Linked DNA regions of Oryctolagus cuniculus. The protein of the gene in region 1 purifies or fractionates together with the protein of each later gene. This does not show direct contact. Links are inferred from orthologs where the notes say so. Each region holds a gene or a part of one and is shown on either strand. Other genes may lie near its edges.

The links.
Region 2: the proteins of UPF1 (region 1) and UPF3A purify together in Homo sapiens (affinity purification with western blotting; 5 studies listed by BioGRID and IntAct, with this or other methods). This does not show direct contact. The link is inferred for Oryctolagus cuniculus from reciprocal best matches to the Homo sapiens genes UPF1 and UPF3A.
Region 3: the proteins of UPF1 (region 1) and UPF3B purify together in Homo sapiens (co-immunoprecipitation; 16 studies listed by BioGRID and IntAct, with this or other methods). This does not show direct contact. The link is inferred for Oryctolagus cuniculus from reciprocal best matches to the Homo sapiens genes UPF1 and UPF3B.
Region 4: the proteins of UPF1 (region 1) and DCP1A purify together in Homo sapiens (co-immunoprecipitation; 4 studies listed by BioGRID and IntAct, with this or other methods). This does not show direct contact. The link is inferred for Oryctolagus cuniculus from reciprocal best matches to the Homo sapiens genes UPF1 and DCP1A.
Region 5: the proteins of UPF1 (region 1) and STAU1 purify together in Homo sapiens (affinity purification with mass spectrometry; 7 studies listed by BioGRID and IntAct, with this or other methods). This does not show direct contact. The link is inferred for Oryctolagus cuniculus from reciprocal best matches to the Homo sapiens genes UPF1 and STAU1.

The regions. Positions count from the first base shown.
Region 1 is NC_091447.1:65,846,345-65,851,137, reverse strand, and holds the start of UPF1 (regulator of nonsense transcripts 1), read right to left. Parts: upstream 2,901-4,793; 5' UTR 2,649-2,900; coding exon 2,424-2,648; intron 1-2,423. UniProt on the Homo sapiens protein: RNA-dependent helicase required for nonsense-mediated decay (NMD) of aberrant mRNAs containing premature stop codons and modulates the expression level of normal mRNAs.
Region 2 is NC_091440.1:58,118-62,905, forward strand, and holds the start of UPF3A (regulator of nonsense transcripts 3A), read right to left. Parts: upstream 2,979-4,788; 5' UTR 2,674-2,978; coding exon 2,566-2,673; intron 2,473-2,565; coding exon 2,366-2,472; intron 1,239-2,365; coding exon 1,132-1,238; intron 1-1,131. UniProt on the Homo sapiens protein: Involved in nonsense-mediated decay (NMD) of mRNAs containing premature stop codons by associating with the nuclear exon junction complex (EJC) and serving as link between the EJC core and NMD machinery.
Region 3 is NC_091453.1:73,257,547-73,261,595, reverse strand, and holds the end of UPF3B (regulator of nonsense transcripts 3B), read right to left. Parts: intron 1,812-4,049; coding exon 1,662-1,811; 3' UTR 794-1,661; downstream 1-793. UniProt on the Homo sapiens protein: Involved in nonsense-mediated decay (NMD) of mRNAs containing premature stop codons by associating with the nuclear exon junction complex (EJC) and serving as link between the EJC core and NMD machinery.
Region 4 is NC_091441.1:96,540,630-96,544,678, reverse strand, and holds part of DCP1A (mRNA-decapping enzyme 1A), read right to left. Parts: intron 3,727-4,049; coding exon 2,968-3,726; intron 1-2,967. UniProt on the Homo sapiens protein: Necessary for the degradation of mRNAs, both in normal mRNA turnover and in nonsense-mediated mRNA decay. Removes the 7-methyl guanine cap structure from mRNA molecules, yielding a 5'-phosphorylated mRNA fragment and 7m-GDP.
Region 5 is NC_091442.1:11,270,457-11,275,151, reverse strand, and holds the start of STAU1 (double-stranded RNA-binding protein Staufen homolog 1), read right to left. Parts: upstream 3,079-4,695; 5' UTR 2,818-3,078; intron 1-2,817. UniProt on the Homo sapiens protein: Binds double-stranded RNA (regardless of the sequence) and tubulin.

The DNA.
Region 1 (4,793 bases):
CAGGACGCCCGACGGCGCGGCCGCTGGCACGCAAGTCCAGACAGGCACGCCCAGAGCCGGGAGGACGCCCCGCGGCTGGCGCACGGTCAGGTGCCCCTCACCTGAAACTAACAGGCGCCCCAGAACCTGGGTCTCCTGGGCCCGACAGGAGCCACAGTGCAAAGCTCCGCCCCAGGAGACTGTCTGTCCCACAGTTGTTGCAGAGCCTTCAGGCTGGGCCCGCACTGGGCCTGCAGTGCCCGCATCCCCTATGGGCGCCAGTTCGAGTCCCGGCTGCTCCTGTTCCGATCCAGCTCCCTGCTGCTGCACCTGGGAGGCAGCGGAGGATGGGCCAAGTGCTGGGGCGCCTGCACCCACGTGGGAGACCCGGAAGCTCCCGGCTCCCGGCTCTAGATCAGCGCAGCTCCAGCCACTGCGGCCATCCGGGGAGCGAACCGCAGCTGGAAGACTTCTCTCTCTCAGCTTCTCCGTGTAAAGCTGCCTTTCTAATAAATAAATGAGTCTTAAAGAACAGAGAAGCCATCAGGCTGTGTGTACGGGAACACAGACGAGTCTCCCACTCGGTCTTGGGCTGCAGCCCCCGGTACTCACCCCGCGCCTACAACCACCCCCTCCAACCACCCAGGAGCCAGCGCACCCTGGTCCCAAGGTGACGCTCAACCTCAACAACCCAGAGACAGGCCGGGAGGCTGGAACCCTTCTCCAGGTCCCCGGCGCACGCGGACGGCACCGCCAACTCCCAGGGACAAGTAGGACCTTCCCGGGCGGGCACACCCGCGGGGGGCCGGGCCCGGCGCTGGCGCTGCCACTCCCGGGGGCGCTCCCTGCAGGTGACAGCGCCAGTGCTCGGCCGCTGCACCTGCGCGGAGACTAGAGGGGGCCCGGCCCTGGCTGCTGCAGCCGTCTGGGGAGTGGAGAGTGGACACGCGACCACAGCAGACAGCAGGGGCCCGCACCCCCGAGACCCAGCCTGGGGTCCCAGCTCCGGGCTTCGGCCTGGCCCGGACCTTCCTCTCGCGGGCACTGGGGAGCGAACCAGCCGTTGAAAGAGCCCTCCCTTTCCGCCTTTCAAATAAATGAAAACCAACTTATAAAAAAAAGAAAAATGCCCCCCACGTCCCAGGGCCCCAGGCCTCGGCCGCCGCCTTCTCGCTCCCCGAGGATCGACACTCCCCCGCTGCGTGGGTGTCACCCGCGCTCCCCCCACGCGGCCCGAGGGCCAGGTCCTCATCCCGAGCCAGCCGGCGCCCAGACCCTGCCCCTCCCCTGCCCACAAAGCCACCCAGAGCGGCTCCGTGACAGTCACCTCCGTCCCCAGCCGCCAGATGCACCCCCACCCCGCTCGCACGCGGGCCCAGGGCTCCCGCCCCCACCCCATCTCACGGCGGCGGGAGGGCCCACCGCCACCCGTCCCTTCCCGCAGACGCGCACCTCTCCCGGCCTCCCTCCCACCAAGGTAAACAAGACTGGGGGTGGGGGGGGGACCTGTCCTGGCGCACCTGCGCGCCCCGCCCCCTGCCGCATTCTATTTCAAGGAAGTCGGGGTTCGCATGAGTCAAACGTCTGCTGCTTCTGGCCGCGAAGAAAAGAAAGCCCAAGTGGGTGACGAGCCCACGCCGCTGACTCAGCCACGTAGCCCACAAGCCCCCCGCCCACGAGGGGGCCGGGGCTCCCCGGGGCGGGACGGTGGGGGAGGGGGCGCCAGAGCCCCAGGCTGTGCCCGGCAGCACCTGCGCGCCAGGCGAGCCTCCCAGGATTCCGGAAAACTCGCCGGGGGTCGGGGTCGGGGTCGGGGTCCGGGGGGCCGCCGTCGGAGACCCAGAGGACGGACGTGGTGGCGACTCCGCAGGACCCCCCAGCCAGCACCTGCGCCCCCCGCGCCCCAGGCTCAAGCCCAGGCCAAGCACGCGCGGGCTACGTCCCCCAACGGGAAGCGCCCGAGCGAGCGGCCCCTTCCCCGGAGAAGCCGGCTCCGCGCTCCGGGCCGGACCCAACTCAGCCCCAACTTCGCCGGGCGGGCAGGGCCGCCGGCTTACGTAACAGGTTGGTTTCGCCAACAGGCGGCAGCGCGGGCAGGAAACACCAGCGACCCGCCCCCTGAACCACCGCCGCGGCCCCTCCACTCGCGCGCCCCGAAATCCCAACTTTGCCACGCGCGGCCGGGCGCGCGCCACTGCGCGGGCGCCGAGACCCCCCGGGCGCGGGCGGGGGGCCCCGAGCCGGCCCGAGCAGTCGCCCACCCCCCCCCAACCGCAGGTCCGGGCCACCCGGAAGCGAACGGAGGGCCCCCCGGCCGCCTGGCCCCAGCAGCACCCACACCCAGCCGCCCCGCCGGGAGCCCCCGCGGGATCGCCGCGACCCCCGGCCAGGTGTGGGGGGGTCCGGGCCCGGGCTTCCGGCGCCGCCATGTGCCGCTCGCTCACCTGCGCGTCCAGCTGTCCGGCCGCAGCGCCCGCGCCCGCGCCGCCCGGGCCCCCCGCGCCGCCGGGGCCGCCGGGGCCGCCGGGGGGCGTCTGGGTCTGGCTGGGGAGGGTGAAGTCGGTGAACTCGAACTCGGAGCCCTGTGTGTCGGCGCCGAGCAGCTCGGCCTCCTCCGTGTCCAGGAAGGTGAGCGTCTGCGAGCTGGGCCCGTACGCCTCCACGCTCATGGCGCCGCCGGCTCCGCGCCTACTCGAGCTCGCTGCCGCGCCGAGGCCTAGGCCGCAGGCCTCGGGCCGCCTCGCCGCCGCCGCCGCGTGCCCGGCCCGGCCGCGCCGCCCGCCCCGCAGCGAGCCTGGCCGCCGCCCGTGAGCGCGAAGCCGCCGCCGCCGCCGCCGCCGAGCGCCCCTCGGAGCCGCCGCTGCCGCCCCTCGGAGCCGCCCGCCACTCGCAGCCCCCGGCAGGAACCGCCGCCGCCGCCGCTGCCGCCGTGCGCGTGCGCGAGCCCGACGCCGGCGCAGGTGCGCGTGCGCGAGGCCGACGCCGGCGCAGGCGCGCGCGCTCCTCGCGGTCTCCCGCCAGGCCCGCCCACAGACGCCCCGAGCCGAGCGGGCCGGCGGGACGCCTGGTGCGCACGCGCGGAGGGGCGGGGCTTCCAACGGCCGCCGCGGCGGGCGCTCCGGCCTCGGCCCCGCCCCAACCGCTGCTCGGAGTCTCCGGGCCGCGGGGCTGTGCGGGCGTGGGAGGGCCCGCGGAGCTGTGCGGGCGTGGGGGGGCGCTTGGCTTTGTGCAGCACGGTGGTTCCAGCACGGACAAGATTGCTGTATACAGCTGGTGCTCACTAAGGTTGCCAGGGAGTCTTGGGGGTGGCTGCTGCTGGATATAGTGGTTAAGATGCTGCCTTGGAGCCGGCGCTGTGGCGTGGCAGGTGAAGCCGCCGCCTGCAGTGCCGGCATCCCAGATAGTCGCGGGTTCGAGTCCCGGCTGCCCCACTTCCGATCCAGCTCTCTGCTATTGCCTGGGTTCGAGTCCCCGCTGCACTCCCGACCCCAGCCCCCTGCGCGTCCACACCCCGGAAGGCAGCAGGTGACAAGAACCTGGGCCGCTGCCACCGCCACGTGGGGGACCCGGCTGAGCCCTGGCGCCCCCGGTCTCAACACGGTGCCTGGAGAGTTTCCAAATTCACATACAGGGACCTCGGGCTGGGACGCTCAGTGTGGCCCCACGGAAAGACCCGACTGGAGGCGGAAGCCCGCGAGCCAGCAGTGAGCGCAGCCCTGGGAGCGCCCCGCTGATCCGGGAGAGTTGATCAGCCGGGCGGGCGGGTACACCTGTGACAGTGTGCAGAGCGCACCCCTGCCCTGTTTGACACACCAGAAGCTAAGGAGGAGCTGATCAAAAAAGACCTAAGGTGCACAGAAAGCAGAAACGTGGCAAGGGGCCGGCGCGGTGGCATGGCGGGTAAAGCTGCCGGCAACGCCAACTTCCATAAGGATACCGGTTCGAGCCCCAGCTGCACCGCTTCCCATCCAGCTCTCTGCAGTGGCCTGGGAAAGCAGTGGGGGGTGGGCCAGGTGCTTGGACCCCTGCACCCGCGTGGGAGACCCGGATGGGGCTCCTGGCTCCTGGCTTCAGATCGGCGCAGCTCCGGCTGTTGTGGCCAATTGGGGAGTGAACCAGTGGATGGGAGATCTCTCTCTCTCTCTCTCTCTCTTTCAAATAAATGAGTCAATTTTTGCTTTAATATTTATTTATTTGACAGAGTTACAGAAAAGGTAGAGAGAAATAGAGAGAGAACCATCCGCTGGTTCACTCCCCAATTGGCCGCAACAGCCGGCGCTGCGCTGATCCGAAGCCAGGAGCCAGGAGCTTCCTCCTGGACTCCCATGGGGGTGCAGGGGCCCAAGCACTTGGGTCATCTTCCACTGCCTTCGCAGGCCATAGCAGAGAGCTGGATTGGAAGTGGAGCAGCCGGGACTAGAACTGTAGCCCATATGGGATGCCGGCACTGCAGGTTAGGGCATTAACCCGCTGTGCCACAGCACCGGCCCCCAATAAGTCAATCCTATAAAAAGAAAAAAGGCCGGCACTGTGGCTCACTTGGTTAATCCTTGCCTGAGGCGCTGGCATCCCATATGGGTGCCGGGTTCTGTCCTGGTTGCCCCTCTTCCAGGCCAGCTCTCTGCTGTGGCCCGGGAGTGCAGTGGAGGATGGCCCAAGTGCTTGGGCCCTGCACCCCATGGGAGACCAGGAGAAGCACCTGGCTCCTGCCATCGGATCGGCGCAGCACTGGCCATAGCGGCCATTGGGGGGTGAACCAACGGAAGGAAGACCTTTCTGTCTCTCTCTCTCACTGTCTAACTCTGCCTGTCAAA
Region 2 (4,788 bases), on another chromosome or scaffold:
TGGAAGGAGTCCTGGAGACGGCTGCTCGAGGAGATCACACTCAACACTAGGGAACTGCACTCTTACAAAAACGGTAAGATAACAGACTTTGTTATATCTATCTGCCAATGCTTAAATAAGATATTTATTTGAAAGGCAGAGTGACAGAAAAAGGGAGGGGAGAAAGGGAGAGAGGGGCAGAGGGAGATATGCTGCATCTGCTAGTTCACTCCCCAAATGCCCACAACAGCCAGGGCTGAGCTAGGCCAAGCTAAGAGTCTGGAATCTTTCCTGGTCTCCATGTGGGTGACAGGGGCCCAAGTACCCGGTCATCACCTGCTGCCTTCCCCGGTGGATAGCAGGGAGTTGGAGCAGAAACAGAGCAGCCTGAATTTGAACCGGTGTTCCATACAGCATGCCAGCATCACAAGCAGCAGCTTACCCCACTGCACCTCAATTCCTACCCCACTTCAATATTTTTTGAAAAGTAAATAAAAGACAGTTGAACAAATAAACAAGCCAACACAAATGTCAAACAGATTTTGACCTGGCCCCCAGCTCAGCCACTCTGACAATCTTGTTTATCCATCACCCTCAGTGGAGAAGGACACACTGATTCACACGGAGGGTGGGAGGAGAGGGAGAGGGTGCCTGATGAGTGAGACAAATTGCTCTAAGACGGATTCAGACTTGACAGCAAAGAAGCCACACCTGGCAGTCCAACAGGGAAGGAGGAGTGGACATCAAAGGCATAACCAGAAGGTACAGGGGATTGAACCCACACAGAGCAGGACAAATCTTGTCATCCACGCAGGCCTGACTGGAGCTCAGGGTCACAACCCCTCCCCGCGACATTACCGAGAAGGGGTGAAGGATGAACAGTGCTGTTAGGAAGACACACACTCAGATTCAGAAAATCTATATGAAAGAAGGATAAAATATAGAAAAACTTCACTCTAACAATAATACACAAGTTGTCGCCATTACATAGACTAAATTATGATTTACAACTTTAAGAGTAGCACCCAATCACAATATACTCACAATATCTTATTTTAGATTAGTCTCTGAGAACTAACTAAAACTCACAAAAATTACACCCAAGCCCATTGTTGTACTTCGAGACTGTAAGAGTTGAAAACAGTGATAAACCTTTGCTGTCAATGAAGATAAATCCATCAAAACGATCTCGGAAAAGAAGGATGTCATCAGGATTCCTAAAATTGATGTATGCTCTCGAGTAGAGGTGAGGACACAGACTGAAACAAGATACAACAGGAAAACCGCTTACCGCTTAGTACAAACACAGGGTCCCCTTTCCTTCATTTGCTTATGCCAAAAAACCATCTCCCGGTTAATTACAGCAATTTGGATATTCTTTAGCAACAAACAAACCAAAAACCACTAACTGAGATCCTTGTAATCAGCCAGAAAGAGATGTCTTAGGCCAGCTTCTCTGCAATGTCAGAGTTAGAATCCTGGTCCTCAGAGGTTGAAAAAACAAAGGCAAGTGTTCTGAACACAGACGACCAGGATGCTGTGTAACTCATGGCTCATTCAAGAAAATGTATACTGTAAGAGGGACTCCGCGTTAATCCGGATAATATTTAGATTTGCTTTTTTTTAAAAGTACTTATGGGGGCCAGTGTTGAGGCATAGTAAATTAAGCCGCTGCCTGCAATGCCAGCTCCCTGCTAACAGCCTCGGGAAGCAGTCAAAGACAGCCCAAGTGCCTGGAACCCTGCTCCAGGTGGGAGACCCAGAAAAAGCTCCTGGCTTCGGCCTGGCCCAGCCCCAGCCGCTGCAGCGATCTGGGGAGTGAACCAGAGGGATGGAAGGGCTAACTGCCTTTCACATAAAATAAATAAAATTCTTAAGAATAAAGTATTTATGGTGGCCCATGGATGGGGTCCACACAGAGAACTAAGCGTCCTCCCCTATGCCACGGTCACCAACATTCTGCGCAGGCGGCGACTTCCAGCCCCTCCCACAGAGCTCTGCAGCTCCGGGGAATCAGGGCCCTCAGGAGCGGTCAGCTCAAGACCGGCCTGGGACCCCAGGCCAAGATCCTGCGCCCAACGCCGGTCCTCGCATATCCGCCAGTCGTTCTGGACGTCATTCACCTGCTAACGATGCTTTCCTTGAACTGGCATTCCTATCAATACACGGTAATGACAGGGGCTGCAGCACAGGGCACCCTGCCTGTCTCCTGCTGGGTCCGAACCAGCTCACGCACGTCTGCCACTCACTCGGCAGAGTCTCAACGCGATTCGCTTTTACAGGCCGCACAGACGAAGCACCGGAGGCGCACACGGCCAGCAGCCCCGCGGCAGGGACGGGCGCGCCGGCAGCAGGTGCGGAGGCCCCGGCCACCTCCCGCCCTCACCTGAGGTCCGCCGAGAAAAGCTCGAAGTAGTCGTGCGCGGGCAGCGGGCGCAGCTGCTCCTCCAGCTGCCGCTTGGTGAGGCCGGGCGGGAGCCGCCGCACCACCACCTGCGGACCGAGCCGGCCGTCAGGGCCCGCGCCCCGCAGGCGCCCCGCAGGCGCCGGCCCTCCGCGCCGCGCCCCCGCCCCGCCCCGCCCCACCTTGCTGAGCGCGGCCCTCTTCTCCTCGCGAGCTCTGCCCGCGCCGCTCCCGCAGCCGGAGGACGAGGCTGGCGGCGTCCCGAGCTCTCGTCGGAACGGGATCTCCATGGCTCTCGTCCGGACGCCTCCTTCGCACTCCGGCCCCGCACAGCAACGGCCGCCCTCCGGCCTCGGCCCCGCGGAGCGCAGGTCGTACCCGCCGCGGGGCCGCCGCCGCCGCGCGCCCGCCGCCGAAACCTCGCGAGAACTCGGCGCCGCGGTCACCTGGGCGCGCGCCTGCGGCTCACAGGCTGTTCCGGTCAGCTGCCGGGGAGGGGCAATCGGAGGCTCGGGCAGAGCCCCGGTGGGGCGCTGTGCGCGCGCGCAGTCCCTGAGGAGTGCCTGGTGCGACCCTACAGAACACCTACCGCAAGACTACCACGACACTGCCGTACTTAGTACAAAACGCTGTGGTGTTTAATACAGAAAACAGTGCGACACTTACTGCAGAATACAGTACTAGGTAACTACGATACTAGAATGCGTAGTATAGAATACTACGCTACTACAAGAAATATACTTAATGTGGTACTTAATACAGAATACTACAATACTTAGCAGAGAATACCACAATTCTTGGAAAATACTGTGGTAGCACACACTGCCATGTTCAGTACAGGGCACTTTGATACGCTGCTCGGGGCAGAATACTTACTATAATACTTGGAACAATGAGTGTAAAATAGAATACTTGCAATGTTACAAAACTACAACTTAGTACTCAGGACTACAATACTACATAAAGTGGTTGTACGGAATACTCAGTATAGTACTACAATGCTATACTTAGTACAATACTTGGTATGACAGTACAGAACATAACACAATACTATGATACCACCGTTCCGTTCTCGCAGACACAGTTGAGGAAGCTGGTGTTTGTCAAGCAGCACCACAGTGCACCTTCGTTCTGCTGTGCGATTTACCTGTGGGGGGAACGCACTTGCTGCAGTGCCCTCACCTGTGGGCCAGGCAGTCAGTAGAGCAGCCAACAGCCAGGCCCCATGCACCGGTATTGAGTCAGTTCACCAGCAAAATTCATAATCCACTCATGCTCTTGATTACTGGGACAACACCAAAACCAGACTCACACTAGTGTATTTTTGCTTTATAAATTACAGGCAGCACTTGATTAATTCATATGTAAATTATGTATTTGTACTCTGCAAGGAATTTTATTAATCTTTATTTCAAACTTTATTCCCAGGCTTCTTCAGCTTAATTAGCAGCAAAGAATGAACTCCATAAGCAAAAACTGAAAGAGCTGCCCTGAGCTTACAAATGTGAGAAATCTAGATTTTATCTGATCATAAACAGAACAATTTTTATAAGCAGTCATAATATAAAACAGCAGCTCCCAGGAACTTTTCTTCAAAAGTTCACTGCAGGGGCTGGTGCTGCGGTGCAGCAGGTTAAGCTGCATCTATAGTGCCTGCAATCCGATGAGGGCACAGGTTGGAGTCCCAGCTGCTCTGCTTCAGATCCAGCTCCCAGCGGAGGATGGCCAAGTCCTTGGGCCCCTGCCACCCACGTGGGAGATGCAAAAGGAGCTCTTGGCTTTTGACTTCACCTTGGCCCAGCTCCAGCCACTGGGACCACTTGGGGAGTGAACCAGTGGATGCAAGGTCTTGGTCTCTCCTCTCTATAACTCTGCCTACCAAATAAATAAATCTTAAAAATTGACCATTCATTTTGCCTCATTCTTAGAAGGCTCATCAAAACTCTCCACGAAATGTGGAACTTCATCATCATCCTCGGGAGCACCTCTTGGTGCCTTTCCATCCACAGATGGGGGAGAGCTTCGGCCAGCTTCCTCGTCTCCGCCTGTCTGCCCACTGCTGATTTAAGATTCTGGGAGGCCGGTGCCGCGGCTCACTTGGCTGATCCTCCACCCTGAGGCACCAGCATCCCAGACTCTAGTCCCAGTCGGGGCGCCGGGTTCTAGTCCCGGTTGCTTCTCTTCCAGTCCAGCTCTCTGCTGTGGCCCGGGAGTGCAGTGGATGATGGCCCAAGTGCTTGGGCCCTGCACCCGCATGGGAAACCAGGAGGAAGCACCTGGCTCCTGGCTTTGAATCGGCACAGTGCGCCGGCTGCAGCAGGCTGGCCATAGTGGTCATTTGGGGAGTGAGCCAACGGAAGGAAGACTTTTCTATCTCTCTCTCTCTAACTCTGCCTGTCAAAAAA
Region 3 (4,049 bases), on another chromosome or scaffold:
CTCTATTTCTTTGTGGCATGGGACACTGTCAGCCATTCTCCTCCTCAAAATTTTCCCTTCCCTAATTTCTTTCAGTCATCTTTGGTGGCTCTTCTTCTATCTGCCTCGGGATACTGGTTTCCAAAAGCTGAGGGAGGGGCTGGTGCTATGGCGTATCTGGTAAAGCCACCGCCTGCAGTGCCGGCATCCCATGTAGGCACCAGTTCAAGTTCCAGCTGCTCCACTTCCGATGCAGCTCTGTGCTATGGCCTGGGAAAGCAGTGGGAGATGGGCCATGTCCTCGGGCCCCTGCACCCACGTGGGAGACCCAGAAGAAGCTCCTGGCTCCTGGCTTTGGATTGGTGCAGCTCTGGCTGTTGTGGTCATCTGGGGAGTGAACCAGTGGATGGAAGACTCTCTCTCTTTTGTTCTCGCTCTGCCTCTGTAATTCTTTCAAATAAATAAATAAATCTAAAGAAAACCTAATCATGTCTTCTAGAAAGCAGTATTAAAAAAAAAGCTGAGGGAACATAAAGCAGTGTTACCAAATAAAGGCAAAATGAGCCCTGTTAGGAGGGCCTGGCAGGGTGGAAATCAAGCAGCAGCTTAAGGATGTTGTCAGACATCTTGCTTCTTATGGAACAACACCAGTGAACCAGGATTTAATCCACTCCCTAGTGAACAAAACAAAGACAGAATGCTAGTGAAGGCAGAAACTATGAGCATTCATCCCCTTTTAAAATTCTCAAGTCAAAAGCTTATTTTCTTAAAACTAATAGCTATTTAGTTAAGTTAATAAACACACAGTGTCACATTTGAGTGCTGTTGATATTTATTGACATCAGCACAAAACAAGTTAAGACTTGAAGCTGTTACTTAACAGGAACAGATATTTGTGTGCAGTTTCCTTCCTGGAGAGGGTATGCTCTCAGATTATGAGACCTAAGGTAAAACAAAGACTGGATTGTCAAGAACCAAACAAGGACTACATTTTACCTACTAGTAGAAAAACTGCTAAAGGCAGAATGAGATGTTTAAAAATATTCCTCATGCCAAGCTCACATAAGCAAACAAAACTAATCCTTAACTTTTAGGACATAGGGTATAGCTATAAGATGACTAGTTCGATTTTTGCAGTGAAAATTTGTTAAATCCTTCACTGTACTTGTATTACAATTACATGCTTGTTGCTTCTACACTATACAAAGTCAACAGTTATCAACAACAATGCAAGATAACGATCTGAACAAGAGTTCAAAGTGACTCTGCTCCACTCAAACTAAGAAAATTCAAGCCAGGATTAACAACATCTTTTTAGAGCCAGCTCTCCTTTTTTTTTTTTTTTTTTTTTTTTTTTTTTTGCTTGTGTCACACATAGTTAAGTCCTCACTTGACATTTCCCGCCTGCAAATTGCAACACATGTCCTCACCATCGTCTTTTTCTGGCACTTTAAAGTTAATTTGTAGAAAACACAAAAACAATGAAATTGTACTTTCCAATTCTGAGCCTGCAATCAGATTCCTGCTTTACCGCTAAACATACTCCTCTGCAGTGCACCTCACCAGCACAGCGACATCCTTTCTTTCTCTCTATTCCTTTGCCCTGAGGGCGCTTCTGGATTGCTCAATACGTGCTCTTTGGCGGCCTGGACAGTCAGGATATCTAGGACCATTTGGACTTATCACTCCTCTCCCCCTTCTTTTCTATGGCTAATACCACTTTCCTGCTTTTTGTCTATTGCTGAATCTCCAGACTTGGTGCTGTCGTCAGGGGGACAGAGTCGATTTCGGCTTCGAGCTCCTGGTTGGTAAAGCTGCATTGCTGGGCGATCCTGAAGTAAAATGAAATATGTTAATATTACAACATTGCTACTAAACTTTTACGTGGGATTTGCAGAGCCATAAGGCATGTATTAATATATACCCAAAACAGGGCACTGAAAACCCAAAATGAGGGCATGGTGCATAACAGCTGTCCATTTCCTTTCTCTTGTCTCCAGAGTAAAGCAACCATTTCATAAGTGGTATTTCATATGCCTAGGGTAAATTTTTGAGACCTGTACTACCTGATTTTCTTAACCATCTCAACATGAACTAATTAGCTTATTTTTTTAAAAACTTAGAAACCTTAGCTATTGCCTATCTCTTCTTCCCATAAGTAAACTGACTATAAAATGCACCACCACACCAGAAAATATTTAGGAAAAAAAAAGAGAAAATGTTTAGGAATAACAGTAGTAAAGGTGAAACCTCTTAAGTGGATGCATCCCTGGAATTAGGAGCTCAGATGCTATGTAGCTTGCCCAGACATCTGTTTCTGATTCAGGTATAACACCTCAGCAGGTGGCACTTTAGATCTGAGATTCCCAAATAAGCCTCAAGAAAGTCCTCATGTATTCTCTCAGTTCAAGTAATATGTTTGGTTCCACAGTATAATACTGGAAAACTTACAGTCCTTTTTAAGAATTCAACCAAAAATTCCATGTGCCTTCCTCTCCCTTCCTCCCTGATTTAGGAAAGTTAGGTACTCGGATTCTTGCCACACATCTGGGAGACCTGCATGGCGTTCCTGGCTCCCGGCTTGTGGGCGTCTGAGCGAGTCAATCAGTGGGTGGAAGATCTTTCTTTTTCTCTGTCACTGCCTTTCAAATAAAATCTTGAAAGAGAGGGCAGGGCTGCCATTGTGGCACAGCAGCTACAGCCACTGCCTAGAGTGCCAGCATCCCATATCAGAGCTAGAGTCCCAGCTGCTCTACTTCCAGTCCAGCTCCCTGCATATATGTCTGGGAAAGCAGCAGAAGATGGCCCAAGTACTTGGGCCTCTGGTGCCTATGTGGGAGAACTGGAAGAAGCTCCTGGCTCCCAGATTCGGATCAGCCAAGCTCCAGCAGTTGTGGTCGTTTGGGGAGTAAACCAATGGATGGAAGATCAATCAATCTCTCTCTCCCTCTCTCTCCCTCTCTCTCCTTCTCTTTCTGTAACTCTGCCTTTCAAATTAAATAAATAAATCTTTTTTTAAAGGAGACATTTCAGGCAAATACAGTTTGGGGGCCCAGTGTAGATCCTATTAAAAAAGATATTGATAAAATAATTGGAAAAATCTGAACACTAAGTGGACAGGGTGTTAAAAATTGTTAGGCTTTTTAAAAAAAGATTTATTTTATTTATCTGAAAAGCAGAGTTGTAGAGACAGAGAGGGAGGGACAGAGACCGTCCATCTGCTAGTTCACTCCCCAAATAGCTGCAACAACCAGGGCTGGGCCGGACTGAAGCCAGGAGCCAGGAGTTTCTTCTGAGTCTCTTACATTGGTGCAGGGGCCCAAGCACTTGGGCTATGTTCCATTGCTTTCCCAGGTACATTAGCAGGGAGCTGGATTGGAAGTGGAGCAGCTGGGATTTGAACCAGCACCCATATGGGATGCTGGCACTGCAGGTGGTGGCTTTACCTGCTACGCCACAACACTGGCCCTATTTGTTAGGCTTAATTTTTTTTTTTTTAACTTGAAAGAGTGACAGAGAGGGAGTGACACACACACACACACACACACACACACACACAGAGATCGAGATCTTCTGTCTGCTGGGTCACTCCCCAAATGCCTGCAACAGCTGGGGCTGGGCCAGGCCAAAGCAAGGAGCTCCATTTGGTTCTCGAACATGGGTAGCAAAGGCCCAAGCAGTTGAGACTTCATCTGCTGCCTCCCAGGCATGTTAGCAGGAAGCTGGATAGGAAGTGCAGAGTAGCTGGGACACAAACAGGTGCTCTGAGATGGGATGCAGATTGTAGCAGAGGCTTAACCTGTTGCACCACAATGACTGCCCCCAGATTTTTTTTGTTATTTTAATGTGAAAGTGCTCCTAAGGTTATATTATCCTTAAAAAGACTCTATCTGTAATAGTTAAATATTTAAAGAAACTATATGTCTAGGATTTGCTTGAAAATAATCCAGTAGGGTAAGGAATGAGGCAGAGTTGATAATTGTTGAAGCTGGGTGATGAGGACTTGGGACCTCATCATACTATTTTTTATTCCCTCCACTTTTACGTATCTCTGTTATTTCCATAAGTTA
Region 4 (4,049 bases), on another chromosome or scaffold:
CTGAAATGTTTCAAAAGAAGAGATAAATAGATATGGCAGGTTTCAGTGAAATTTCCTGATTACTGGTAAAAAAAAATCTATTTTAGCAACAAGAAATGGCTAAGCCATTAACCAGGTCTCAGATTCCCAAGGGAAGAGGCTGACAGGACTGTGACAATGACTCAACCTCCCCCTGCAGTTCCCCCGATGAAAGGTGTGCTTAAGTAGTCCCTAAGGAACAAAGCAGAAACCTGTATCTCAGAGTTGGGAGCTGTGCAGGCGTATTTTTGCTGTTGAGTCTGTAAAAATGACAGATGTTGGCAGCATGACACCTGGTAACAGGCTGTTTAAACCTGGACAGGTAGTACTGAACAGCTGCTACCCAGAGTCAGCCTTTCACATGCAGTTTTTCCTCATTCATTGGAGAGAGACAACTTGTAGAGCAAAGACATGAGAACTCTATGAAGCCCTGGTCTTTGTATTTACTGCTGTGTAAATGGAAATTTATACGCAGGGAAGCATGCCCTGCCAAGAAGGAGGCTAGGGCAGGGTGCTATCTCCAGGCTGCAGAGGGCAGTGTCCAAGAATGCTGGTGTGGGGCTGGCATTGTGGTGCAGTGGGTTAGACTGCCACTTACCACATTGGCATCCTGTATCAGAGTGCCAGTTCTCACCCTGGTCTTCACTTCCACTACAACACCCTGCATGCCTGGACCCCTGTACCCACATGGCAGACCAAGGTGGAGTTTCTGGCTCCTGGTTTTAGCTCAGCCCTGGCCCAGCTTGTTGAGGACACTTAGGGATTGAAACAGCAGATGGAAGATCTGTTTCTCCCTATCATCCTTTCAAATCAATCAATCAATTCATAAATAGAAAGGTCTTTTTTTTTTTTTTTTCCAGAATGGTTCCTCTAGCCACAGTGGCACATTTTCTTTAAACAGATTTATAATTTATTTGAAATGTGGAATTGCAGAGGTAGAGTGAGAGGGAGAGAGGGGGAGAGGGGGAGAGGAGAGAGAGAGAGAGAGAGAGAGAGAGAGAGAGAGAGAGAGAGAGAGAGAAAGAAAGAAAGAGAGAGAGAGAGAGAGAGAAAGATCTTCCATTTGCTGATTCATTACCCAGACGGTTGCAACGGCTGGAGCTGGGCTGATCCAAAGCCAGGAGACAGGAACTTCTAGGTCTCCTAAATGGGTGCAGGGGCCCAAGGATCTGGGTCAACGTCTACTGCTTTCCCAGGCCATAGCAGAGTCCTGGATTGGAAGTAGAGCTGCTGGGACTTGAACCAGCACCCATATGGGATGCTAGCACCATATGCAGTGGCTTTACCTGCTATGCCTCAGCACTGGCCCTTAGGTAAGTCTTAGGGATAAAAAGGACTGCTGTTGTGTTTCTTGAATCCTGCAGCAGTGGTAGCAGGCATGTCTGTTTAACAGAATATTCTCTCCTCTCTGTAACACAGAGAAAGGGCTGGAGGAAGACAATATAAATGCTACCAAGACCCTAAGTTTCCCCTCTATCACTACAAGATTTCAAAGGAATGGAACAAAAAAGTTAAGAAATAATACATAGCAACCATGATGGGCTTTTCCATACATTATTTGGTACAATGTTAAGATTGGGGATTATCATCATTGTTACAGATTTGATTATTTATTTGAAAGGCAGAGTTAGAGAGTGAGCAAGCGAGAGCATGAAAGAGATCTTCCTTCTGCTGGTTCACTCTCCAAATGGCCACAATGGCCAGAGCCTGAGCCAGTCTGAAGCCAGGAGCCAGGAGTGTCTTCTGGGTCTCCCACGTAGGTGAAGGGCCCCAAGCACTTGGGCCATCCCTTGCTGCTTTCCCAGGCACATTCGTAGGGGAAGGATCAGAGGTACAACAGCTGAGACTCAAACTGATGCTCAAATGAGATGCCGGCACCACAGGTGGCAGCTTTACCCACCATGTCACAGCACCGGTTCCTATCACTATTATTAAAGGGCATTATTAAAGGTCCTATAGGGACTCAGTACTGATGCAGAGTAGCAGGTTTTATACTATTCCAGTTCCGTGACCTTGCACAAATCACCCAATCTGGTTTTCTCGTTTGCATATCCCACACTTATGAATTACTGTGAGGGATAAATCTGTTTTTCCTCTACACCTGATCTACCACTGAGTCCCACTGATGAGACATCTCAACATATCCACATGCACACACTTCTTGATCCAGGCCCTGCCAGCTCTAACCCGAGTGCCGCCCTCTTCCTTCATGGCACCTCACTCTGCTCAGAGACTTCCCAGGCTCTGAAAACAAAGTACTGAGGGAGCTGGGAATGGGAACTAAGTTCAGGATAATCTGGGGATCTTCCTGACCCTGAACCAAGACAGACAGGGGCTGGCACTGTGGTGCAGTGGGTTAAGTTGCCACTTGGGACTCCAGCATTCCATATTGAAGGGCTGCTTTGAATTCTGGCTGCTCCACTTCTGATCCAGCACCCTGCTAATACACCTGGGAAGGCAGCAGAAGATAGCCCAAGTGCTTGGGCCCCTGCCCTCTGTGTGGGAGACCAGAATGGAGTTCCAGTCTCCCAGCTTTGACCTGATCCAGACCTGGCTGTTGAGGCTATCTGGCATCTAGGTAGTGAACTAGTGGATGGACGATCTCTCTCTGTTGCTCTACTTTCAAATAAATAATCTAAAAAACAAAAAGCAAGACAGATGAAAAAAAAATCCTATAGTGCATACTTAGGCAATATAAACGTGGTTTTTTTATCTGTTATCAGTGGGATAATTCTGGAAAGTGAAACTGAGTTACACCATTGTCTAGTAATTACTTGGTTGGTCACGGGGTGGGGGGGATTCTCCTTCCCCTTTCTCCTGGTCCTTGGTTTCCTTTAGAGATAATTCTTTCAAACTATCCTGTCTCACATCAGTAAAAATCAAGGTCTTTGCAGTTAGTCTCATCCAATCAGTTACCCACCCTGCCCACCCCGCCTCTGTTGCCACTACCTGAAGGGGAGCAAGCACCATGTTGCTCAAGGAGGCTGAGGCTGCTGCTCTCGCTGCCGCGGTCTTAGAGGGAGGCTCGATGAAGCTCTCAGGTGTGGCCAGCTGGCCAGCTGCTGGGCACAGGGTGGGTGCCACTGCTCCTTTCCCAAGTGTCTGCGTCTGTATTTGGTCATGCTGTGGAGTCAACCTGAGTTTATGCAGAAGATCAACGCTTGGGAGGGATGCTCCAGCTGGGTTTGTCACGCTCAGTGGGGCTCTGAAGGGACTCTGGCTGGCAATCAGACTGCTGTGGCTTAGCTCAGAGACAGGCTGGTTCAGCAGTGGAGACCTCTGTCTAGGCGTGGTCTTCACTGCTTGCATCATAGTGCTGTTTCGAGACAGGCTGGGGGGAACCTGCGCAGCAGGGGCGTCACCTGGCAGAGTGGGGCTGAGAACGGGGCTCAATGGGATTGTGTAGCTTGGGGCATGCTTTTCACTGGAGTGTGTGATGGAGGCTGGGGTGATTAGCACCGGGGTGGGGACTTCTGGCTGGACTGAGTGGTGGGCAGCAGAATGGACACCCGGGTTTTCTGATGGAAGGCCTCCTCCTGCTTGCTCAAAGGGGAATGGAAGGAAGGAGCTGGGTTCTTTCTGGGAGGCCTCTCCCGGCAGCTTCTCCACTTCTTCTGAATCCAGACCCATGACTGCGGGCTGTTCCTTTGGCAAAGAGGTTCCGAATAGCTCTTCTACCGTCAGATGTTTGTGTCCAGACGGAGCAGACTGAAAAACAAATCACACCACTTAGTTAAAAGAAACCTCTGGCAAATCACTGTAACCAAACTTGTTACCTAACAACTAAAACAGTAGTAAGGAATGGGACAAACTGAAGACAGGCTACAGGTACTTTTGGTCTTCTCTAGGTTAGTGGAAGGAAATCCACATGCGTAATTACCCTCAAATTCTAGGAACTTCAGATAATATAAGAAGACTTCATGGAAAATGGAACTGAAAGATAATTTTGGTGCAAAAATGTTTTGAAATCCTTATGTGGTTTTGTCACAATACGCATTGTTATGAACTTTCTGAAGATCCTTATGTGCATG
Region 5 (4,695 bases), on another chromosome or scaffold:
TACAAGTCAAACTAGAAACTGTTCAGGACAGAAATTTGAAAATTACGTAACAATAGCAAATATTTATAATACTTCTAGGAGAGATCTCCTTTTAAACAAGAAAAATATGAACACTTATTTTGATTTCACACTAGTCACAAAACTTAAGATTCCACTCATAATTACTAACAATGTGCTGTTTGTAAATAGAGCAGATGGGGACTCTGGAAAACAATTCTACAAAGATTCTGAAATCAAACATCCTTCGCTTAATACTTACTGAGACGGCATTTATTTACACAACCAGCTAAAGAAACTTTGGGAAGCTTCATGGTGCATTACTGTGGTTTAACTTTGACACAAAGCTCCTGCCTATTTAAAGGGGCCTAGCAGGTAGGTCTCCACCAACAAAGGGATAGGAAATCTGTCTTTCTGATGGCTCTTCAATTAGTCTTTCATGGCTCAAGAGTTACTTTTGCACACAGAGAAGCAAGGCCACATTTGGGATTTGACTTTGAGAGCGGGACAGCACTGATCAAAACTAGCTCAGCTGCTAGTCTTTTCCCCACTGCACAGTAACCAAGTAATCTGTTCAGAGATGAGAAGCCAAGCAAACAAAATGACAACTGATTCTTTTAAAAGCACATTTTAGGAGCATTCTGGTAAAAGTCAAAATCTCTAACACTGTGATACGATGTTTAAGATTTGCTTCAAAACAATACAGTTTGGGGGAGGAGGTACAAGACTGCTCTTAACTGTAAGTTAATCATTGTCAGAGCTGGGGCTCTCACACTGGAGCCGGGGTTGCCTGCCCCTCGGCCGAGGGCCAAGGAGGCAGCACATGATGGAGCACGCAGTCCCCGACACCCACGTGGCAGCCTGGCCCAGGCCCAGCTGTGCGTGCGGCACCTGCGGAGTGAACCAGCGGATGGAAGCTATTTTTTTAAAAAAAACTGCCGAAGTTGAGCGACAAACACAATACCTAAGTCGTCTAGTCAATTTTCATGTATTTTCCACAGTGAAAAGTTTAAAAACAGCTTTATGTTACCCACTGCAATATTAAAACTTCCCTAGCACAACTTACCACAAGGTAGCAGAAAACATGCTTTTTACTGTTTGCAGAGTTGTCTGTTTAGCTGTTTTTAAAACGTCAAATTTTAAATCAGAAGCAATGTGACACTGTGTCAGAAAATTCTAGAAAAACCTAACAAGGAAGCCACTTTGCATTGAGAGATGTAAATCAAAACATTTTCATTTCTCTAAGGAAACGGACTAAGACAAGCCGAGGTCTAGGCGGACGTCTGCGGCGCGCACACTCCGTTTTCTCTGTCCTAACTCGAAGCTGAGCACCTCGGCGGCCGCAGCTCCCCAAGGACCGGCACAGCCGCACCACGCAGCCCAGCATTAGCAGAACTCGGTGCGCCCGTCCCCAGACGGCCAAACCGCTGCCTCCACACCCCGGCTGTATTTTTAGTTTCTGCTTCAACAAGTAGCAACGTAAGCAGAGGTCCCTTCCTGCAAAACCGTACTTCGACTCCGTCCGCCCGCTTCTAAACAAAAACACGCGCAGCACGGCAGCGCGACCCCAAAGCCCTCCGCACGGCCAGAGAACAGGGGCAGGCGGCTGGGACGCGCATCTGCGCGCGAACAGCCGAGAGCCTGCACCCACGCCGACGCGGCAAGGCAGGGGCACGGCCCCGACCCCGAGGACAGGCACGCTCGCCCAGCGCCGTCCGTCCACCGCCCTCGGCCCCGAGGACAGGCACGCTCGCCCAGCGCCGTCTGTCCACCGCCCGCGGCCCCGGCCCCGAGGACAGGCACGCTCGCCCAGCGCCGTCCGTCCACCGCCCCCGGCCCCGGCCCGAGGACAGGCACGCTCGCCCAGCGCCGTCCGTCCACCGCCCCCGGCCCCGACCCCGGCCCGAGGACAGGCACGCTCGCCCAGCGCCGTCCGTCCACCGCCCCCGGCCCCGGCCCGAGGACAGGCACGCTCGCCCAGCGCCGTCCGTCCACCGCCCCCGGCCCCGGCCCCGGCCCGAGGACAAGCACGTCGCCCGGCGCAGGGGCAGCGGCTGCCAGCAACTTTCCTAGAGGCGGGACGACCACGGGGAAGGCGGACCCGCGGCTGGCGCGCAGGGGGTCCGGCCCGGGCTCGCCCCCTTCCAGCCCTGAGCCCAAAACAATGCCCCCGGCGCCGGCGGGGGCCACGCCGAACACCGCTGCCTCCCCCACTCGCGCACGGGCAGCGAGGCAGCTAGGTAGGTCAACTTCTGTCCACTCGCCCCACTAAATTACACCTTCCTATCACGCCAATCAATCATGCAGGCGGTTTATTGGGGACACGCTGTGGGTCTGGCGCTCCGATAAGCGCTTCACACGCCCCATTTCCCCGAACCTCCGCAGCCAGAAAGCGGCAGGACGGTCTCGGCGCCCCTCTCCCCAGCCCACACAAAGAGTTGAAGGGGCCGCGCCGGGGCCGGACACCTGGGCCGTGCCCGCCGCACGACGCGGACGCTCCGGACCCCGAGGGCTGGAGAGGGGACACCACCAGCCCGGCAGGAACTTCGCTGTCCCCGCGCGCCCGCCCAGCGCAGGGCGCCAGGCACCTGTTCCCGGCCCCGGCGAGAAAGCGGCGGCGGGGCTGGGGGCGCCGGAGGACCCGCCTCTCCCCCACCCCGGGCAGGCCCCGCGGGCGGGACGCAGGCCCGGGCCGGGGGGAGGAGGCCGGCGCGCGGCCCGCCGAGGCCTAGGCCCCACCCGCCGCCCGCCGCCCGCCGCCCCCCGCCCCGTGGCCGCCGCGCCCGCGCGGGCCCCGCCGCGCTCGGCCGGCCGCCTCACCTGGCTGCTGCCCTCAGCTCGCCCCTCGGCCGGCGGTCCTGGGCGGCGGCGGCGGCAGTGGTGGCGGCGACGAGGGGAAGGAGGAAGGAAGAGGGAGAGGAGGAAGGGACGGCGGGTGGGAAGAGGCGGAGTGGCTGCGGAGGAGGCGGGCGCCGCCGCCGGGCCGGGGGGTCCAAGAAGCGGGGAAGCCGAGAGAAGAAGCGACGGCGGCCGGCGCAAACGCTGAGGAGCCGCTCCGGCGCCCGCAGCCCGGCAGGAAGTGACGGGGGAGGGGCCGGCGCCCGCCCCCGGCCCCCGCCCGCCTCCAGGCCCGGCCCCACCCCCACCCGCGGCCCAAACCACAAGTCCCGGCGGGCGCTGCGGCGGGGCCGGCGCCCGCAAGGCACACCGGGAGCCGGCAGGCGGGGCCTGGTCGCGGCGAGGTGGCCGCCGCCCGCCCTGGGCCAGCGGCCTGCTGGGAGTTGTAGTTCTGCCGGGCCCCGAGCGGGAAGGCGGAGCGCGTGCCTTCTGGCCTCCCGCACTTCCTTCTTCCTTCTCTCAGTCCGTCCTCTCGTCTCGCAGGTGTCGTTCCCTTCGCTCCCGCCCTCAGGGCCTCCTTCCTCCGCCATGTGCGAGGCGCTGCCCCGAGAGCTAAGAACGGAACGGACAAACGCCCGTGCCCTCATGGAGCTTACGTTCCAGTGCGGATAAAAGGCGCGAATAAAATCATTAACTTGCTAGGTGCACTGAAAGGCAAGATAGGGGCCGGCGCCGAGGGGAGCGGTCAGGCACCTGCGATGGCAGACTCTCTCCTTCAAATAAATAAAGCTTAAAAAAACAAACGAAAAGATGATGTGGCTGTGCGCGTTAGGACCCCAGGGCTCCGCCTATCACTTCCAGGCCGACTTTCTTCTGTTTCCGTACACTGACAGCAAGTGCCCACTCTAACAGAAACAGCAGTGTAATTTTAGATGAGAGCCAACTTTTCACGGGGACTTTATGCGCTCTGCCCATTCCTATATAACTTATCTTGCGGGAAGGAGCAGGCAGAATTTGGAGTAACATCTCCAGTGCTCAGTTTCTTATTTCCATCTTCATCCTGAAACAAAGAAAAATAATTCCTTAATTACTTGGCAACAGCCCAGAAGACTTGAGGCCTTTGGGAAAAAAGATGTGACTGCCAGTCCCTAAGTACAAAAAGAAAAACACGTCTAAGGCTCCCCTCCCACACCCAGCAGCCCCACGACGAACCTGTGCCTTGGTTAACACAGTGGTCCTCAAATGAGCGCTGTGGAGTGACTGTTCGCGCTGTTTTCCTCTTCTTCCTCTCTGTCTTTGGTTTTGTTAGTTTTTAACGGCTGAACAATTTCAACACATAGTAACCTGGCTTTGTGACCTCTCTCCAAAAATGAGGTGGCCAGGCAGCATCGGAGAGCAACAGTCCAGCCACACTTGGGCTCCCACAGCCCACATCAGGGGGCCTGGGTTCGAGTCAGCTCTGCTCCTGCTCTACCTCCCAGCTAACGCACCGCGGGTCATAGCTCCAGCACCTGCGTCTTTACCACCCAGCTGGGAAACCCAGGTGGACTTCCTGGTTCCCGGCTTCAGCCTGGCTGTTGTGGGCATTTGTGGAGTAAACCAGCAAAAGAAGAATCTCTCTCTCCCTCTCCCTCTCTCTCTCTCTCTCTCTCTCTTTCTCTCTCTCTCTTCCTCGATAAAATGAAAACAAAAACATTTTTAAATTTTGGGGGATGCAGCTAACACAATACTTAGAGGGAAAGTTGTAGCAATTAACGTTTAATTTAGAAGAGCAGAAAGTCTCAAATCAATTATGTTTCCACCTTAAGAAACCAGAAAGGGCGGGTGTTAGAGCGGAGCTGGTAAAGTCACCACCTGCAA